2 linked regions of the Tamandua tetradactyla genome follow. The protein of the gene in region 2 purifies or fractionates together with the protein of the main gene of each other region. This does not show direct contact. Links are inferred from orthologs where the notes say so. Each region holds a gene or a part of one and is shown on either strand. Other genes may lie near its edges.

Region 1 (10,013 bases), on a different chromosome or scaffold from region 2:
GATATATTGACCAATGGAATTGAATAGACTGCTCAGATATAGACCCTCTCATCTATGGACATTTGATCTTTGATAAGGCAGTCAAGGCAACTCATTTGGGACAGAGCAGTCTCTTCAATAAATGGTGCCTAGAGAACTGGATATCCATATGCAAAAGAATGAAAGAGGACCCGTATCTCACACTCTATACAAAAGTTAACTCAAAATGGATCAAAGATCTAAACATTAGGTCTAAGACCATAAAAAAGTTAGAGGAAAATGTAGGGAGATATCTTATAAATCTTATAATTGGAGGCGGTTTTATGGACCTTACACCTAAAGCAAGAGCACTGAAGATATAAATAAATAAATGGGAGCTCCTCAAAATTAAACACTTTTGTGCATCAAAGAACTTCATTAAGAAAGTAAAAAGACAATGTAGAATGGAATGATATCTTAATGTTTTGTTTGTTAATTTTTTTAATTAATAAAAAAAGTTAAAAAAAAAATTTAAGGCAGGTTCAGACCTGGTTATTAAAAAAAAAAAAAGAGAGAGAGAGAAAGTAAAAAGTCAGCCTGCACAATGGGAGACAATATTTGGAAATGACATATCAGATAAAGGTCTAGTATCCAGAATTTATAAAGAGATAGTTCAACTCAACAACAAAAAGACAGCCAATCCAATTACAAAATGGGAAAAAGACTTGAACAGACACTTCTCAGAAGAGAAAATACAAATGGCCAAAAGGCACATGAAGAGATGCTCAACATCCCTGGCCATTAGAGAAATGCAAATCAAAACCACAATGAGATATCATTCCACACCCACCAGAATGGCCATTATCAACAAAACAGAAAATGACAAGTGCTGGAGAGGATGCGGAGAAAGAGGCACACTTATTCACTGTTGGTGGGAATGTCAAATGGTGCAACCACTGCGGAAGGCAGTTTGGCGGTTCCTCAAAAAGCTGAATATAGAATTGCCATATGACCCAGCAATACCATTGCTAGGTATCTACTCAAAGGACTTAAGGGCAAAGACACAAACGGACATTTGCACACCAATGTTTATAGCAGCATTATTACAATTGCAAGGAGATGGAAACAGCCAAAATGTCCATCAACAGACAAGTGGCTAAACAAACTGTGGTATATACATACGATGGAATATTATGCAGCTTTAAGACAGAACAAACTTATGAAGTATGTAACAACATGGATGGACCTAGAGAACATTATGGTGAGTGAGACTAGCCAAAAACTAAAGGACAAATACTGTATGGTCTCACTGATACAAACTGACATTAGTGAATAAACTTGGAATATGTTGTTGGTAACAGAGTCCAGCAGGAGTTAGAAACAGGATAAGATAATGGGTAATTGGAGCTGAAGGGATACAGACTGTGCAACAGGACTAGATACAAAAACTCAAAAATGGACAGCACAATAATACCTAATCGTAAAGTAATCATGTTAAAACACTGAATGAAGCTGCATCTGAGCTATAGGTTTTTTTTTTTTTTTACTATTATTATCACTTTTATTTTTTTTCTCTATATTAACATTCTATATCTTTTTCTGTTGTGTTGCTAGTTCTTCTAAACTGATGCAAATGTACTAAGAAATGGTGATCATGCATCTTTGTGATGATGTTAAGAATTACTGATTGCATATGTAGAATGGTATGATTTCTAAATGTTGGGTTAATTTCTTTTTTTCCATTAATTAATAAAAAAAATTGCAATAGAGCATAATAAATGTTTTATCAGAATCTTATAAAGTATAATGGTGACCAAAGGTGTGTTAGGGATGGTAAAAAAAAACCTCAGAAATGGACAGCACAATACTACCTAACTGCAATGTAATTATGTTAAAACACTGAATGAAGCTGCATGTGAGAATGATAGAGGGAGGAGGGCTGGGGACATAAATGAAATCAGAAAGAAAGATAGATGGTAAAGATCGAGATGGTATAATCTAGGAATGCCTAGAGTGTATAATAATAGTGAAATGTACTATGTACAAACTTTAAAAATGTTTTTGCATGAGGAAGAACAAAGGAATGTCATTATTGTAGTGTGCTGAAAACAGATGATAATTAATACTTTAAAATGTCACCTTCTGTGTGAGACTAAAGCAAAAAAATGTTTATTTGTTACAAAATTTATATTTTGACTAGAGCATTTCCTAATATAACTCATGTAGATAGTTTGATTGAATGTCGTAAGAACTTGGAATCTGAGGTAGGACATGAGATTTTGTTGGTTTGCCCAGAGTGATGCCCCAATGAATCCCAGAGTGATTTGATCAGTGACTGGAAAAGTATTTGCAAGCCCCCTTCGGGGAATGGTGAGAACTGGGGAAAACTCAACTTCCCCAAGTTGAATTCTTGATATTCTCACAAGCAGTGTGGACAACCAAAGCTATAGGCTGAGCCCCCAGTCTTGGGGTTTGTTCATATGAAACTTAACCCCACAAAGGATAGGTCAAGTCTACTTAAAATTTAGGCCTAAGAGTCACCCCCAAGAGAGCCTCTTTTGTTGCTCAGATGTGGCCTCTCTCTCCAGCCAACATGATGAGCAGTCTCACCACCCTCCCCCTGTCTGCGTGGGACATGACTCCCAGGGGTGTGGACCTTCCTGGCAACGTGGGACAGAGATCCTGGAATGAGCTGAGACTCAACATCAAGGGATTGAGAAAAACCCTAGAATGAGCTGAGAATTAGCATCAAGAGATTGAGAGAACCTTCTCGACCAAAGGGGGAAGAGTGAAATGAGACTAAGTGTCAATGGCTGAGATTCCAAACAGAGTCGAGAGGTTATTCTGCAGGTTATTCTTATGCATTAAGTAGATAGATATCACCTTGTTGTTCAAGATGTAGCAGAGAGACTGGAGGGAACCGCCTGAAAATGTAGAGCTGTGTTCCAGGAGCCATGTTTCTTGATGATGATTGAACAATGATATAGCTTTCACAATGAGACTCTGTGAATGTGAAAACCTTGTGTCTGATGCTCCTTTTAGCTACTATATCAACAGAAGAGTAGAACATATGGAATAAAAATAAATAATAGGGGGAACAAATGTTAAAATAAATTTAGTTTGAAATGCTAGTGGTAAATGAAAGCAAGGGGTAAGGGATATGGTATGTATAATCTTTTTTTTCTTTATTATCGTTTTATTTCTTTTTCTGTTGTCTTTTTATTTCTTTTTCTAAATCGATGCAAATGTTCTAAGAAATGATGAATATGCAACTATGTGATAATATTAAGAATTACTGATTGTATATGTAGAATGGAATGGTATCTTAATGTTTTGTTTGTTAATTTTTTTTAATTAATAAAAAAAAGTTAAAAAAAAAAAAAGATGTAATGGAGAGGCTGGAGGGAACTGCCTGAAAATGTAGATCTGTGTTCCAGTAGCCATGTTTCTTGAAGATGATTGTATAATGCTATAGCTTTCACATTGTGACTGTGTGATTGTGAAAACCTTGTGTCTGATGCTCCTTTTATCTACCTTATGGACAGAGGAGTAAAATATATGGATTAAAAATAAATGAATAATAGGGGGAACAAATTTAAAATAGATTTAGTAGGATGAAATACTAGTGATCAATGAAAGGGAGGGGTAAGGGATATGGTACGTATGAATTTTTTTTCTATTTTCTTCTTCTGGATTCATGCAAACATTCTAAGAAATGATCATGATGATGAATATATATATATATATTTTTTTAAAGTGCAGTTCTACCAGCTAAAGGTCAACCCCCAAAGCCCTAAATTATCCCTAGGATTCTGCTCCCACTCCACTCAGCATCCACCCCCTGCACCTCCTCTCTCCCTCCCTCTCTGCAGTCCAGGAGTGCTGGCCTTTTTGTCTGTTGTAGAACGTGCTGTGCTTCCCCTCCCACCCCAGGGCTCTTGCACAGCCGTTCAATCGGACTTTTCTCAGGGTTAACACCTAGCACCCTTCAGCTCTCAACGGGAGCCCCGCCTCCTGGGGGAAGCCTTCTCCATCTTCTGCTAAACTGGAGTAAGTCCCCCGGGAGGCAGAGAGCATTTTCCAAGACCTGTCATGGCAGCATTTCCCACCTCGCATGCTGTTCCAGACCCTGGCACTGCCCAGTTGTGGGGCCCATCTGCCCTCCTCTCGAAGTGGGGCGGGACCCCATAACTGCCTCTCTGGAAAGGACGCGGTGCAGAAGCCTGTGCATGACTTCCGAGGGCACGAAGGCTGGGGCGCTCCAACCTGGCTGTCTCAGGACACCTGCTCTCGGAACCCAGCTGCACACAGCGTCTCCTCTCTGACCGAGAAGTGACCACTCCCCTGACCCCCACCCCCTCTGCCAGCCCTCCTGCAACTCCCGGAAGCACACAGCCCACCCTGAGGGCATCTTACGTTGAGAAAAAAGCATATCCCCAGATGTTTTCCCAAAATGTGCCCGCAAGCCCCTGGCCGTCAGCATGCTTAGGGCCCTGGGCCTTTTTAATCTAAAGAGTGGGTCCATAGGTGCCGACATACCAGAGCGAACTTTTTGCCATCATGCTGTCTGTCCCAAGGTAGCTGCAGCTTTCTGGAAGTTTCCTAATAAATGCCTAAGGACCAGTCGTCCTGGTGTCCAGTCCTTCTTTCTTCGGAAGCTCAACAGGCCCACTGTGGGGTGGTTTGGGGCAGTCCCAACTGGGTGTCCCCCTCTTTCTTTCTCGATGACTCCTGCTGTTGGTTCAGCGGATGCAACACCATTTCGTCGGGAGACTCCAGCTGCATGGGGAAAGGGAGGTGTCCATGCGATTGTCCCAGGGAAGACCTCACACAGCAGCAAATACCAGGCTTGGGAGAGAGCAAAGCCTCCCAGATGTGGAGGATGAAGAGCTGAGCTCTCCCCTCCCCACCTGCCCCAAGCTGTAGTTTTGTGCATAACATAAGGCTTTAAGCCTTCAAGTCTTGAGTGTGCTTTGTTACTTGGAAATAGTGACTGGAATACTCTGTTACCTCCTCTTGGAAGCATTTGTTACAGTTAAGCCTTTACATCACATGTGTCTGCACAGAAACAATTGTTTGTATAATTCCTATATATCTATCCTAAAAGGCAGAGAGCTCTGGAAGGGCAGAACCAGCTCAGTTTTTTTTTTTAATCATTATTCCATTCCTGATGCCTTACACAGAGCCTGGCACATGATGCCATCATTTCATATTTAGTCTCAGCTTCCCTGCCCATCTTCACATATGAAAAACAAGATGCCACGTGGTCATGAGTTGAATGTTCACTCACTCGATCAGTGCTCGCTGATGTGACCATGTCAGGCAACTGTTTTAGAGATGAAGCATAAAACAAAAATGACATGCCTGGGACTATGAGAATAAAAGGCAGGGTCTGAGAAGCTTCCCAAGGGAGGGGACATTTGAGATGGGTTTTGAAGGATGTGTAGGAGTTTTCTCAGCAACGAGGACACAAAATAGGGACCATGGAGGAGGACATGGCATGTCCTGATATATGGGGGTAGGAAGCAGCCAAGCTGGTTAGGAGTAAGTTGGATGTTCTTCCCTCATAGAGAGCACTTGGCTTGGGTGGGAAATCCTGCCAGGAAAGGTGGGCGGGGGACCAGTTTCTGGTGGTCTTCAACGCTGCGTGAGGCTGCTGAGATTTAATCTCCTAAGACACAGGAAGACCCTGGATGTCTGGAAGCAGAGGTTTAGGAGCGTCTCTTGATGGAGATGGAGGTGAGAAAACTGGGGAAGAGGCTGCTGCCTCAGCTCTGCCTTCCTGGCCCAGCTCTGCCACCTGAGCGCAGAAGCAGCCACAGATTCAGGTGGAAACCCACGTGCGGAGACACTGAATTGTGAATTTCACAGCATTTTCGCGCAACACGAAATGCTCTTCTTTTGTGGATTTCCCCCCACCCCCAACTTTTTAAAACCGCACCGACCACTCCGACAGCGCTCGGTGGCCGGAGAGGTTATGAGCTTGCTCACCTGTTGTAAAAGCTTCACAGAGAGGCCCCGCCCCGAGGAAACCCCGCCCACGCCGAGGAAACCCCGCCCCTCCCGGCCCCACCCCGGGGCGGGGCCCGCGCATGCGCCGCTGGCGGCCGGGCGGGAGGGGCGGGGCGGGCCGCGGCTCCGACTTCCAACATGGCGCACGCTGGCGGCGGCGGCGGCGGCCCCGCGGGTCGGGGGCTTGGGGGCGCCCGCTGGGGCCGCTCGGGTTCCGCGGGCCACGAGAAGCTGCCAGTGCACGTGAGTGGCGCCCCGCCCTCCGCTGGGGACCCAGGTCCTCCCGTCTCCTCCGGTCTCCTCGGGCCGCCCCCCCTCAGGCCCGCGCCCCCCACCCGGCCCCGCCCGGCCCGGGCGCCGCCTCGGCCTCCCCAGACCCCGGCCCCCGCACCCCGGCCCCGACCCTCACCTCCACCGCCCTGCGGGTCCCCGGCCCCCGCTCCGCTGACCCGGGCCCGCCGGGACCCTCCCCCTCCCTGCAGGTGGAGGATGCCCTCACCTACCTGGACCAGGTGAAGATCCGCTTCGGCAGCGACCCTGCCACCTACAACGGCTTCCTGGAGATCATGAAGGAGTTCAAGAGCCAGAGGTGCCCGCGGGGTCCCTTCCTCCTCCCTGGGGGGCCTCCCCTGGGCTGCCCTGCTCTCCCCGAGTGCCGGGTGACCTTGTGCAGGTTGCTGATCCTCTCTGAACCTCAGTGTCGTCTTCTAAAAAATGGGAGTGGGTGGTCCCCACCCCGTGGAGCTGTTAAGGGGATTCCTGGAGGCAGGGCTGCCATTAGGGTGAGGCCAGCAGGGCAAGGGGGGTGGGGGTGGAATCCTGCCTGTTGAGAATGCTGATCTTTAATAGATTCAGCTGATCCAGGAACCCAGGAACTGCTTGCAGTAATTCAGAATCTTGTACAGTATCAAATTAAAATGTTATTTATTCTGAGGTTCTTGGCGATCCCTCCCCTCCACCATAAATTTTGCCCCTGGGGGTGAGGCTGTCGCTGGGCTTCGCCCTAGGCCCGGCCCTGCTTGGAAGCAATGGGGGTAAAATGCTTACTAAGGGACCTGGCACGCAGAAAGCATTTAAAAACACGAGTTGTTTTTGTAGGCACAGAATCAAGAGAGTTAGGGACAGTTGGGGAAGCACAGGACCAGGCGTTTGATTTACAGAAGGCTGGACTGGAACTCAGACCCTCCCACCCATGAATTCTCCCTTGTCTCCTTCCCACCCTGCTGCTCCCCAGTCTCGGGAAACACGGCAGGGCTCTCTTTCTGTGACTGAAGGAGGGCCCATCTCTCCCCTCACGTGCCTGTGCAGTCCTGATATCTACAGGGCCCCCGGTGTTTATACACTGCAGCAAATCGCATGGGCTCGAGACTATCCCACGTCACGTTTGATCCCAAATTCATCCTGTTGTGTGGAGGGCTTTGGCTCCTGCCACTCCTTCGCATCCAGGACTTGCAAGCTCGCTCTCCTGGCCATTTCAGATGCACATGCCCAGGCTCAGAGTGTTTGGGGGAGCAGCCTCATGTCCTGTTGGGGTTCTTCAGGGTCCTCACGGGATGAGCATACAGAGCCAGGCCAGGCTGCCCTGGAAATAGATCATTGCCTATGGAATCTTGCCAGCCGCCAAGACACTCTAGGTGGCCTTGCTGTTGATGATAAGCCGGTGCCGTGGCACTGTCTGGAGACAGCGTAGGGGAGCTTGTGATTTGCTCCCTGGGACCCTTTTGGCCACACGCATCCGTCTTTGTTGTAGCATCGACACTCCTGGTGTCATCCGGCGCGTCTCGCAGCTGTTTCACGAACACCCTGACCTCATCGTGGGATTCAATGCCTTCCTACCCCTCGGCTACAGAATCGACATTCCCAAGAATGGCAAACTAAACGTCCAGTCGCCGCTGACCAGCCAGGTATGCCACTATAGGGGCGTGAGGGGCCATGCGGTGCTGGATGGCGGGCCTGTGCCCCTGTCATCTGGCTGCCTGAAAGGCGCTGGGGCTCCGTCCTTCCCCAAGGTGTGCCGGCTGCTTCCATCCCAAATCAGAATAGATGGCAGCTCCCACCCGGGCAGCAACTGCACCCCAAACGGAGCAGTTGGGAGGACTGAAATCAGGGGTGGAAACATTTGTGTGCGTCAGGGAGGTGATTTTCTAACGCAGAATTTTACTTTTAGTCCAAATAACGGCTTCAGCAGCCGCCACTGCCTCGGTTTAAGACTGAGCCTGGAGTGTCCCTGACAGATCCTTCCAAGTCCCCAGACTTGCCCCTGTCCACCCTGGAAGCTCTCGGTGCCTCCAGTGAAACCCCGTTTTTACGATGAGTGCCTAAATGGCAGTTTTTATTGTTGCCGTGTTTCTTTAATACCTGTTGGGGTTGCTGGCTCAGGTCAGCCTCTCCCACCCCCAGGGTCATGGCTTCAGCTCCCTCCTTCTCTGGTGACAGGTTGCTGTCTCCCTGCAGTCCCTTGTTGTCTGAGCTTACAAGGCCCTCTGAGCCAAAGAAAGCCTATTTGAGCTTTACATTTAGAAGGTAATCATTGAATTTTTCCCAGCACTATTGCCCTTTGGAGCAGTTTGTTGCCGTGGAGGTAGGGTTGGCTGGCCGGTGCCTTGTGGGGTTTTTAAGCAGCGCCCCAGCCTCTACACACTGTATCCTCCAGCTGTTGCAACTGAAACTGCCCCCAGATGCAACCGAGTGACCCTTGGGGACAAAATTGTCCCTGGTTTGAGAACAACTAGTCTTAATGTACTCCTCTGGTCCCTGCCCCCAGGATTTCCGTAGAAAAGGTAAAAATCTGCGCAGGAGGCTCTGGGTAGGTTTCTCCTTTGATGGCAGAGTCACATGAATTAGGGAGTCGGGATCTGGAAAAAGAACTGCGAGAGGCGATGTGGCCGCGGTTGCCCTCTCTCCAGGGGTGGGTTGCACGTCAAGTCCCCATTTGCTGTCTGCCCAGCAAGCTCCCCATCAGCGTGCTGTCTCATTAAAGCTGAAAAGTGCATCTCAGTCTTAGAAACTCGGAAGTCTGGTGGTTGCTGCACGAAGAAGCCCTTCCATTCCATGCTTGCAAATGGATGCAAACGCAGGGCTCATGCCTGCAGTCGCTAAGAGCCTTGGCGGTGCCCAGACGTCGGGGAATGGATGTGAGAGCACTTCACGGAGGCTGAAGCACCTGTGAACATCGGGTGTAGTTAGCATTTGCTGAGAAAGAGCTGGAGTCGCAAGCCCCTAATTGCACTCGGCACATGGAAATTGCTTTTCAGCGACCCCTGACTGTTGGAGTAACTCTGGGGGCTGGGTCTTGGCGTGGAAAGAACTGGTGGGTTCTGAGACGATGCTTCCCTCAGGAGTTGCAGAGTCCCTGCTGCGCCGATGGTGGAAGCTGCCATGCATGTGACAGAGCCGGCTGCCACCCCGTCTCACCCTGCTTGGCTTGGGTGCCAGCGGTCTGTGGCCTTGCAGAAGGCTTTTAAGACCCTTTACTTCACAGCTACTAGACAAGGTTTTACCCTCTGCAGCCTGGAAGCAGCCGTTTCCAGGGCTTCATGTCTTGGTTGGAAAGATGCTTTGAATCCCGCTGTCTCAGTGGGTGTCGATGGATACAATCTGATTTCCAGGCTCTGCTTCCCAGCAGCCCATGTCATCCTCGGCATGCCTTCACTGTAGGGACGAGCGGGGTGACATTTGGGGTCCTGGGAACCCTTTGCAAGGTCCTCATAGCCTGAGGACCTCTTAATCTGCCCTAATGCAAAACCCTCAGGGTGATTTATTTATTGGTTTTTCTCACTTCACCATTTGGAAGTACAGCTTTTTTTTTCATATGTGTAATTTTCCCATTTCTTCATAAATCTCGTCCCCCTCAGACAAGAGTGGCTGCTAGACACCAGGGGTGCTAGTGAGAGAGGCCCAGGCTTTGGGGAGCCTTTGGGCAGGGCTCTGAGCTGCGGTGCTGCTGCCACGTGGGGCCAAGTGTTCTCTGAGGGGGGTGGGGGTGGGGGGGATGGCTTGCAGATGTTGGCCTGTGTCCCAGGCGGGGGGCAGGCTGGCGCAGG
Region 2 (10,307 bases):
GATACAGGAAGCAGTTATAAATACCTGGATTACCTCATTGTCCCCTCTTTCATCCTTCTAACATCTATGCAACCAATTCTCTGTATTATATCCACTCTATTGGAAATACTTAGCACAGCTTCTGCTTTCCTGAGTGTTGAAGCTTTTATACAATTACAAACAAAAGTTTGTAAACTGTTTTATATCTTATTTTTTTCTCTCCAACTACAAAGGTCATGTTCCTGATTCAGGAGAATCTGTGGTTGAATTTAGGACATAGGGATGGGGGTAGATAGGGTTATGTGAATAACAGAATTCTTTGGTGACAAGCAATGAATGGACTCAGGCTAATCTGGGTAAAAAGAGAACTATGGAAAGCCACTTTAAAAAAAAAAAAAGAATCTATGGAAGAATATGGGAAGCCCACGGAATCAAAGGTAGAGATGTGGGAGGGGTGGGACCAGAGCACAGCCAGGTAGCTAGGAAGCAGGAATCAATGGGCTGCCCTCTGAGGGTGCTTCACCAGCATGAATCTACAGAATCCACATCCCAGGAAGGGCATGGCTTTCAGGCCCCTGTGGTCACAAGCCTACCTTACTGGTTGGTAGTCAGCAGGACATACCAAGTGACAGACCCACCAAAATGTGTCCAATTGAGGAAGAATAGATCATGGAAAAGAAATTTAGCAGGCTATTCCCTACTGAAGGAAGAATGGATGATGGTCAGCAATTACAAATTACAAATTTGTGCTACAAGGAACTTCAGATGAAATCATCAGTTGTAAATTAAAACGCATTATACACTAAAACTTTGAATAAAAGAATTATGTAAAAAAAAAAGAATTATGTGCTTGGGGTGGAATGTTCAGGGAAATCTTTCTAAAAGAAGTTTCTACAGGTGAAGCCTTCCCATCACTGCTTATGGATTGGGACAAGCCCAGGAGGAGTTTTTTTTAATCACTGTTTTTTTCATTTGACAAATATTTATTTACTACGCCCCACTGATTCTAAGCCCCAGTGACTATGGTCTAGGTCATTTCCTCTATGCAATGTCACCAAAGCAGAGCTAGTGTTACTTAACATTAACAGGGTAAATTGGCCTTTTAAAAATCTAGAAAGACACCCTACAAAGGTTAAATATTAACATACTTATAAATATAAAACAATTACTTCACTTCACCTAATAAAATACAATAGTAAATGAAAACAAAGCGTAAGTTCAAACAATTATAGTACATTTTCTATTATAATATTTTTCCTTTAACTCCTCACACAATTGCGTTAAAAGATATTTTAAGAGAAACTACTTAGTATTGTGTCACACTAGGGCAATTCTTTTTATTTTTCTGTATTACTCCTTTGTCATTTATTTATATATTTTTTCTAAAATGTGTGGGGTTGTTTTCTGTTTATAGGAGTAATGTGTGACCATTAGAGAAAAGTTTTAAAATAGAGCAATATATGGAGAATAAAATACCCATCAACCATTAATACCAGTACCAAGAGACAATGGTTGTCAGTATCTTAGTGTATTTTCTTCAGCTCCTGATGATTCGGATGAAAACAATTTGGCCAAAAGCAAAACTAGTATTCTTTATGTTCCCCTTTTGCTTTATAATTTCCTGCTCTTTCTGTAATGTGCTTTGCTTTTATACTAAAACAAATAATAAAGAAACAAGATCTCTGTCTTATTCATCCCCTTTATCTCCATATCCAGCACATTTCTTGGAACTCCAAAAATATTTTCTGGAAGGCTAAGATTTTCACTCTAAACTAGTGAGATGGAGTTGTTAATAAACACAGCATTACACTACAGCTATGCATGGGTATAACTTCTCTCTTCTTTTAGTGAACGGTTCATTCTATTAATACGTGATCAATTCTCAAAAATTTTGCTTTCTTACTATAAGACTGATCAGATTCAAACTCCAATCCAATATCCACTAGCAATGTGACAACAAAGATCTGCCCTCAAATCTACATTCTAGTGAGAAAGCCATGATCAAACATTTGTCAGATGGTATGACAAAACAAGTGCTAGGGAAAAATAATAGACTGAAGGGGACAGAAGATGACTTCAGGTGGGGGGTACATGTGGGGGATCAGAGATGGCATAAGATTTCAAAATATACTAGTGCAGTAATTTTTGAAAATCTCAAGTTGTGACTAAGTGCGATCATGAAATCAATTTAGAGGATGAGCTGCATAGTTTTAAAAAAATGAAATATAAAGATACAGAGCCCATCACATATATTAAAGGTAAGCACTGTTTTGTGCTTGTTCCAGTTAACTCACACAGGTACTAGTCTGTAAAGCACTGCCTGGCATGGAGAAAGGCGTGATTAACTTCTGAACTTTGAAGGAAAGAGTCTTAGAGAAGGGTACCTCTCTCGGTTAGGATAGTCACACCTTGTGCCTGCACCTGTTCATGTCTTACTCAATTACATAACGGACTTAGCTGGGTGCAACAGAGACAAAAAGACAATGCAGTAAAAGAGGGAAAAAATATCAGGATCAGAGCTAAGAGGTAGGGGAGAAAGGCAAAACAAAACTAAACAGTTAAGCAGTTCAAGAGAGAGAACTGTTTTCACATTTTTCCAGGCAAAAAGTACCCCATAGGAAAAACACCAAAAAAAAAAAAAAAAGCGAGAAATAGGATTGACAGATTTAACAACAAAAACAAAAATCACCAAAATCCAAAGCTAATCATATATGCTATACATGATAAGTGCATGACACTCGTAAATATTTTTAGAAACTTCCCTAATATCTGTTCCATACTCCCTGCTCCTATTCTCCTGCTATCAAGATTTTAAAGCCATACAGTTTGGAAAGGTTTCTCTTTTTTTCAGCCCTTTAAACATTTAATACATTTTGAAAATCATGCCTACCCATCAGGAATGACTAAATTATATTAATGAGAGACTGGAAATCGTCTGCCAAGCCTTCCCTGGCCCTGCAAAGGACGGGGTTCCCACTGAAGCAGGGCTGTGATACAGGACTGTTCTAGAACAAAACCAGCAAACTACAGTTCGCTGCCTCGTTTTCCTATGGTCCATGAGCTAAGAATGACTTTTACATACTTTTTAATGGTCGGGAAAACAAACCAAAAGAAGGAGAATATGTTGTGGCACATGAAAATTATATAAGGGTGCACCAGCGGTTCAGTGGTAGAATGCTCCTGCCATACGGGAAACCAGATTCAATTTCCAACCGATGCATGCCAAAAAAGGTTATATGAGATTCACACTTTAAAATATGGTGAAAATGGCAAATTTTATATTATATACACGTGATACCACAATGTAATTTTTAATTACATTTAATTCAAATTTCGGAGTCTATAAAGCTTTATTGGAACACAGCCAGGTTCATCCATATTGTCAAAGGCTGCTTCAATGTTAAAAGGGCGGCAGAGTTGAACAGTCAACCGCAAGGCCTAAAATATTTACTACCTGGCCCTTTATAAAAAAAAAGTTTGCAGATCGTGTTCCTAGAATACAAGGGCCGTACTGCTTAATCACCCTTCCAATCCTCTTCCCTCTCTAGCCACCACTCCAGCTTTAGTCAAGAACAAGATTGCTGTGCCTGCCATGGAGGGAGGGCGTTATAATAATGAATTGTATCGAAACTTGAGACATAAGACTATAACTTTCTATATAAGGCCATATGAGTGGTTCTGCCACCAATTAGAGTAACTTCTGGGTTCGTTTCCCGATCAGAAAAGTGTGCATCACAGCAGCAGCTGCACCATTTCGTTTGAACATCACCATGGTCACTTGCGTGCAGGCACTTGGAAACGTATCAAGGCAACAAGTGTTCCGAGGGTGTTTTTGCAAGGCGGAGCGTCTCTCCGAGTCTGGATATAGACTGCGCTGCCCTCTGCAAGTCTGCACCTCCGTCGCTCCCCGCCCGCTCCCCTCTACGTCCAGCCCTCCTTTCAGTCTCTCACTTCCCCTTTCGGCCCCGCAGCCCGCTGGCTCCACACCCACCTCCCTCCCCCTTTCCTCAGAGCCTACCAAGTTGCCCGGGAGCACCGGGTTTAGGTAAAACCGGCCCGGGTCAGCCCGGCCCAGCACTGTCCAGTCAGGATGGTGGGTTGCCCTGGGACCCCTGCAGGTGGTAAGAATGACTCAGCAGGGCCCAGGCCTGGGCCCGAGACGCGAACGACCCAGCCCGGGGCCCAAGTCCCTTGCACTACGAAAAGGCCGCAAACCATCATTTGTTCTGGGCCCAAATACCCCAACAAACGGAAATTTAATTCGAGTCCGTTTCCGACCGCTGTGGCACCAGAGTCAGGCTGTCTAGGCCCCCACAGGCCGCACGTTTAAATTAACAGGGCGGGCACGGCGACTACTACAGCCAGAAAATGCCTGGGGCCTCTTCAAAAGGTCCCCTTCGACTCCCACAAACCGCACCCCACCCCCACCCCGGGCCGACCTCGCCCGCCAGAGGGGGCGGCGCGCCGGCCCCGGGAAAGGCCAGCGTCTGCTTGGAGGAGAACCTTTAGGGGTGCACTCAATCGCATGCCCGGGACTACCAGGGAAACGCACTAATTTCTTGAGAATTGAAAACAATTCCTAAAACTCTGGCCCACAGTCCCCGGCTTGCTCCCGCCCCCAAAGATTTCGCCCGGCTAGGCGGCGGCAGCCTCCCTGCCCCCTCTCCCTTCCCCCCACCACCTCGTTTCAGACAACCACGCCCCGCAGCCCCAGGGCTCACCGCCCCGGGGCCGCCAGCCCCCGCGCAGCTGGGCACGCCGCGCCTCCATTCGCCCCGCCCCCGCGCGTCCCCATCCACCCCCGCGGCCGGCCCTGGGAGCGCCAGGCGAGACCTTGCGCCTGCGCGTCGCCAACTTCCTGCCGCGGACCTCCCCGCCCACCCCCAGAGTCCCGCCCCCGAAAGCCGCGTGAAACCCGCCCGCCTCACGCCATTGGGCGAGGCGCAGGAGCCGTTGGCTCCCAGGCCCGCCTCCCCACCGCCTCTCACTTTTCCCAGGCGGATGCGCCTGCGCCCAGCAGCCTGGGCGGGCTGAGAGGCGCGGGTTGAAAAGTCTCGTTCCAAGTTTGGAGAGAGAGAAGCGCAGCACAGACCTCGGTACCCGCGAGAGGGGAGGAGGCAGGAAAGAAGGACGCGGCATCTGGGGGAGCACGCAGGCAGCAACGGAGCTCAGGCTTCGGCAGCTAGAAGTGCGTGACGCTGCTGGGAAAGGCAGGAGCGCCTGCGGTTGGGCTGCTCTCGACTAGCGAGGGGAGTCCGAGGCGGCGGCGAGGGGCGAACGACCCGACGCAAGATGGCGAGTAAAGAGAGTAAGAGGCCCTGCGGGGCGGCGCGCGCCGGGGCTGCGGGGGGCGGCGGGCGCGCGAGGCCGCGGCACGCGCCGGCGAAAGGCGCGAATTGGCGTGCGGAGCAGGGGGCGGGGCCGGGCGCCAGGTTGGGCGCGCGCCTCGAGGGGCCTGCGCGGGACGCGGCCGCGGCGCGGAGGGTTCCGAGCACTTCCGGAGCCGGGCGCGGGGCCCAGGATTGGGCCCCCGGCGGCTGCGCTCTCTTGGGCGCTCCCGGCATTGGGGCGGAGGCGGCCGCCACCGGGCAGCGGGGACGGCGGTTCTCTCCGCACGCGCGCGTCCACCGCCTTAGGGTCGCGGCCTCGGCCGCGGGGCCTCTGGAGCCGCTTGGCCTATGGCTGCCCGCGCGGGTATCGTGGGGCCTCTCCTGGTGGGGGATGAAGGGAGGGGGCTGATGGTTTTCTGCTACGTGTAGATCTGTCTCCGAGTGGGTTATAGGGATCCTCTAGATCCACACAATCCATCTCCTTAGAGCAGGTGCGAACAGCTGTAAAGGACAAAACAATTCCTAAAATCAGAGGCGGTTTGGCGTCCCTGTTACTATCCTATTCTGTTTGCGCAGGAGATATTGAGCTCAAAGTGCAAAAAATAAGCTTTCTGGCATTAATATTCTGTCCACGTTCTGGGGGAGCAGTTTTTTGCCTCTAAAGTAAAGATAAAGGGATAGATGAGAGGTGTGGCCATCTCGAGGTGACCTCTCCAGTACCTGTGTACAGTTTCTGACTTCGGTCTCTCAGCCACTTAATCGTATGAGCTTTCTCCAAATTTCAGTGTTCGAAGATACTGTGGAGGAGCGTGTCATCAACGAAGAATATAAAATCTGGAAGAAGAATACACCATTTCTATATGACCTGGTTATGACCCATGCTCTTCAGTGGCCGAGTCTTACCGTACAGTGGCTTCCTGAAGTGACTAAGTAAGGGTTTCTGGCAACTTTTATTTTGCAGAAATTGAAGTGTCGACCTGAATTTCTTAGCGTTCTATACCTAGAATGTAAGCTCGTAATCATTAGCCCTTGGATGAGGTGGTAGGTGGTTTTTATTTTTAAAGTTGAAGTGACTTATGGGATGAATTCTGATGTATACGCGTGGCATTAAAGGGGGAGAAAGGCTCCTTTGTGAGAATAATGATGTTTTTAGGAAACACTGAATATATTGAATGGTCTTGGGCTGAGATATAGAGCAGCATCTCTCGGGGCCCTGGACTACTGCATTTCTTTCAAACTTTATTGAAAGCATGCACACAGAAGATGCACAAATTGTAAATGTAATTTTTTTTGATGAATTTTTACAAAAAGAACACGCCCATGTAGCTGGCACTCAGGATAAACAGTTTTGATTGGCAAAGGGAAAAAGTTTGGCAACGGTTTCCTGAAGAAAGGCTGTTATTGTCTTAAAATATAGAATATACTTTGAGATTGCTGTTAGTTTTCATTAGAGTGTTCTTTTTAGCTAGTCCTAAAATTTCTCTGGTAATAATTGCTGACATTTATTGAATGCTTAGAACAGGATCTGGCACATCTGAGAAGTTTTACGTCCTGTTATTTGGTTTAATCCTCACAAGGGTACTACAGTGCATAGGTGCTTTTATTATCCTGTTTTGCTGATGAGGAAACTGAGGCTGAAAGGTTAAAAAACATGCCCAGGATCACCTACCTGATAAGAAGTGGGCTTAAGAACACAGACCTGATGGCTCCAGAGTTCAGACAACCTCTGCACTAGCCTGCCTACCTTTCTCATGTGCTTGCCCTTTTCCTAGCAGAAACTTGACTGTAGACTTTAAAGGTGTATTAATTTTGGGTATCATGAGTACATAATTTAATGGGGGTTAAATCAAATAATCTATAAAGTGAATTTTTGTGATAAGTTATAAAAATAATTTTAAAGTTGTTTTATGTTCTATTTTATAAATTATTACTTATTTTATAAAATTATAGTTTTGTGAAAGATTAACTTATTTTGCAATGGCCAGATTCTCCGTGTGCAAACGTTTGATTCCACACAGATAGGGTCTCCGTTGGTGTTCCTAAATGTCTGAGTGTAAATGTACAGATACAGGAAAGGTAGCCAAGAACTAGTAATGAAGACTTCCGAACACGGGCATTTTGTAACTACCTTTGATAGATTTCTAAAATAGATTGAGCGTCATATGCTTAAGGGTATTTAGATTCTGGTTTGAAGCATCTTGTGCATTTGACTCTGTCTTCCTGTTAAGCAAATTCAAAACTTTTCCACAACTTAACGTACCTTACCTTGCATCTTTTTGACCTGTAATATTGTAGAAAAAGCCGGGGGCTTTCAGTTTAGAGACCTGGGTTTGAAGATTGCCCCTATTTGTGACCTAGGGCGAGTTCAGACTCTATCTCCACATAGTCTGGACTGTAAATGGAGATGCTGGTAGTATTGACCGCCTACACTTGAGGGAATTAAATAAGATCATCCATATTGAAGTCCTGGTGCATAGTAAGCACCCAGTAAACCTGTTGTGGTAGCTGATGCTGATTTTCCCATTCCTTCCCCTTTGTTAGACAGGGTGGAAATAGTTCTGTGTTTCTCCGTTTGAATTTCTGTGGTAGTGACTAACTAAAATCCATTTTAAGCATTGCCAGCAATGATGTTTTGCTTATAGGTTTTAAAGATAAACCTATATGTTCCTCTTGGGTTGGACAGATTACTTTTATATTCACACTTAAGAACTTACCAGAAAATGCTTTAACTAAATTACATATTCTGTGGTGTTCTTCACATACAAAGAGGTTGTGGGATCTGGTTGTGGGAAGTGCAGTGGCTCTGGGAATGCAAGAAAATGCCAGCCAGCCTGCTTGCATTCTTGGATGTTGAAGACTGCTCTGTGGTGCTTTTAGCAGGGTTCTGTCTGGGATACGAAGGGAATATGATTGTGTTTTATCACTAACAAAACGGTAAAAATGTTGGCTATGTTTCTTACTGCCTGAGACCTTTAGCCCTCTCGTAGGTCTTTCTTCTTCTGCCTACATACAACATGTTTTCTATTACTTGAACTTTCTGAGTTGGTATCCTTAAATTCATTTAGGTAATTGTCCACATAGTTGATTTGGCTTTTTAAAGGTTTTATTTTTTAAAGTTCATAGATCATTATTTCATATCTTGTTAAGTAACTTCTTAATAAATGTATTGAGACTTAACTTAGTTTCTACCTAAAGAGCTTTTGCAGTCTATCAAAGTACGCAAGTATATAGAGTGAAGAATAAATCTCCCTTCCACGTCCCCTATTTTCCCAGCTCCCTTCCCCAGGGCAGGGACACTCATTTTCAATTTCTTAGCCATCTTGCCAGCATATAGAAGTGCGTATTTATCTCTTTTCCACCTTTTTTTGTGGTAACAGGTTGTTCATGTGACTTTTCATTAAGAGTGTATATTGGAGCCTTTTTCCTATCAGCATGCTTAAATAGGCTTCATTCTTTTCAAGGGCTTCATAGAATTCTATATGTCATCAGTTCCTTAGTGATGGGTATTTAGGTTGTTTTCAGTCTTTTGTGACTGTGAACAGTGCTGCTGAGGATAATCTTGTAATAAGACACATTTCTGTGATTGTGAGGTAAATTTCCTAGCAGTAGAGTGACTAGATCAAAGGATTCTGACACTGAAGAAGGGGACAGGCTCTTTTACCATTAGTACTTCTGCAGCCTTTAGGTACATCCAGTGTTAGAGGAAAAGAGTTTCCTTTTGATTATTTTAGAAAGTAGGCTTGTGTTTTGATGATGAAGTGAAAGGATTTGTAGTCAAAAGAGCAGTCCTTGTATGATTATCAAGTTGGGAAACTGGAGTAGTGGAATTTTATTAGAGCCAAGAAGAATTTTTTAAGATGCTTTGTTGTCCCAAGTCCATCTCCATCTTAGGACAGTGCCCCTTAAAAAGTTCCTGTGATGAACTGATGTGTCAAACTGTAACTTTTCCCTTTTGTTTTTACTTTACTGCTTAAACCCAATAAAAAACAAGTCGCTTCCTTCCATTTATATCAGTCCTAATATTGCTCTGTGGTGCCTCCTTTCTCTCCAGCATCTCTGTTCTTCTCAACTGTTTCTCATGTGGTATGTTTAAGTTCCCTTTCATTTCAAACTCTGCTTTTTCATCTAATCCCTCCTAAAGTACATTACCTAGAGCCTCATTTGTAAGTGGTTTTACCAGTTAGAAATGCACACATGCATGCGCTCTCTCACACTCTCAAGACCATCTAAGGTGAATTACCTTTTTTGATATATAATCCCCTCAGCATCCATCAACTAAGACCCTTGTCTTTACAAACAAGTTGCTATTGCTTAATTAACCATGGCTGCCTTATTTTGTTCTTTGTTCTGTGCACATTTGTTGTTCTTTTTACCTTAAGCCATATCTTAGCTTGGTTAACTTTTGTCTTATGTTTTTCAGTTATTGCTAAATTTTGTGCTTACAAGTAACATCCAAACCTTTTTTAAAAAAACCACTGGATCCTTTGTACAACTGAAATTTAGAGATAGATAGATTATGGCCCTTCTCATTAAGTTGGGACCATGGAACGCGGTTGAAAATTGCTGTTCATGCTAGTACAAATGGGAAAGCACTGTAGTTCTATAAAGATGCAAAAATTACTGATTGGGCCAAGAGGCATTAGCAGGTTCTTGGGCTTCAAGGTGAATTATCACAGAGCGAGGGAACAAAGACCCCTCAAGAAAATGTAAGAATACCCATTTCATAAACTTTAAACATCATAAACATAAATAAGGTGTTTTCATACCATGTCACTTGCACTCATGACCTATGTTTTTAGCTAAGGAAATAGGCCCTCAAGAAAGTTGTGATTTGAAGTAATTACATACAGCTAATTTTAGTTTGAGCCAGTATTTAAACTGTTTTTCTGACTCAACTCTTTATTCTTTCCATTCTACTTTATTGCCTCTTATTGGAAAATCAGAAACGTCTAGCATTTAATAAAATGCTGCTATGGGCAGAAGATATTTGATAGTCAT

What was found.
Region 1: the proteins of RBBP7 (region 2) and SIN3B purify together in Homo sapiens (affinity purification with mass spectrometry; 5 studies listed by BioGRID and IntAct, counting the BioPlex papers as one, with this or other methods). This does not show direct contact. The link is inferred for Tamandua tetradactyla from reciprocal best matches to the Homo sapiens genes RBBP7 and SIN3B.

Annotation. Positions count from the first base shown.
Region 1 is NC_135337.1:95,276,630-95,286,642, forward strand, and holds the start of SIN3B (paired amphipathic helix protein Sin3b), read left to right. Parts: upstream 1-6,108; coding exon 6,109-6,213; intron 6,214-6,452; coding exon 6,453-6,559; intron 6,560-7,720; coding exon 7,721-7,874; intron 7,875-10,013.
Region 2 is NC_135353.1:158,096,460-158,106,766, forward strand, and holds the start of RBBP7 (histone-binding protein RBBP7), read left to right. Parts: upstream 1-6,057; 5' UTR 6,058-6,072; coding exon 6,073-6,239; intron 6,240-10,307. UniProt on the Homo sapiens protein: Core histone-binding subunit that may target chromatin remodeling factors, histone acetyltransferases and histone deacetylases to their histone substrates in a manner that is regulated by nucleosomal DNA.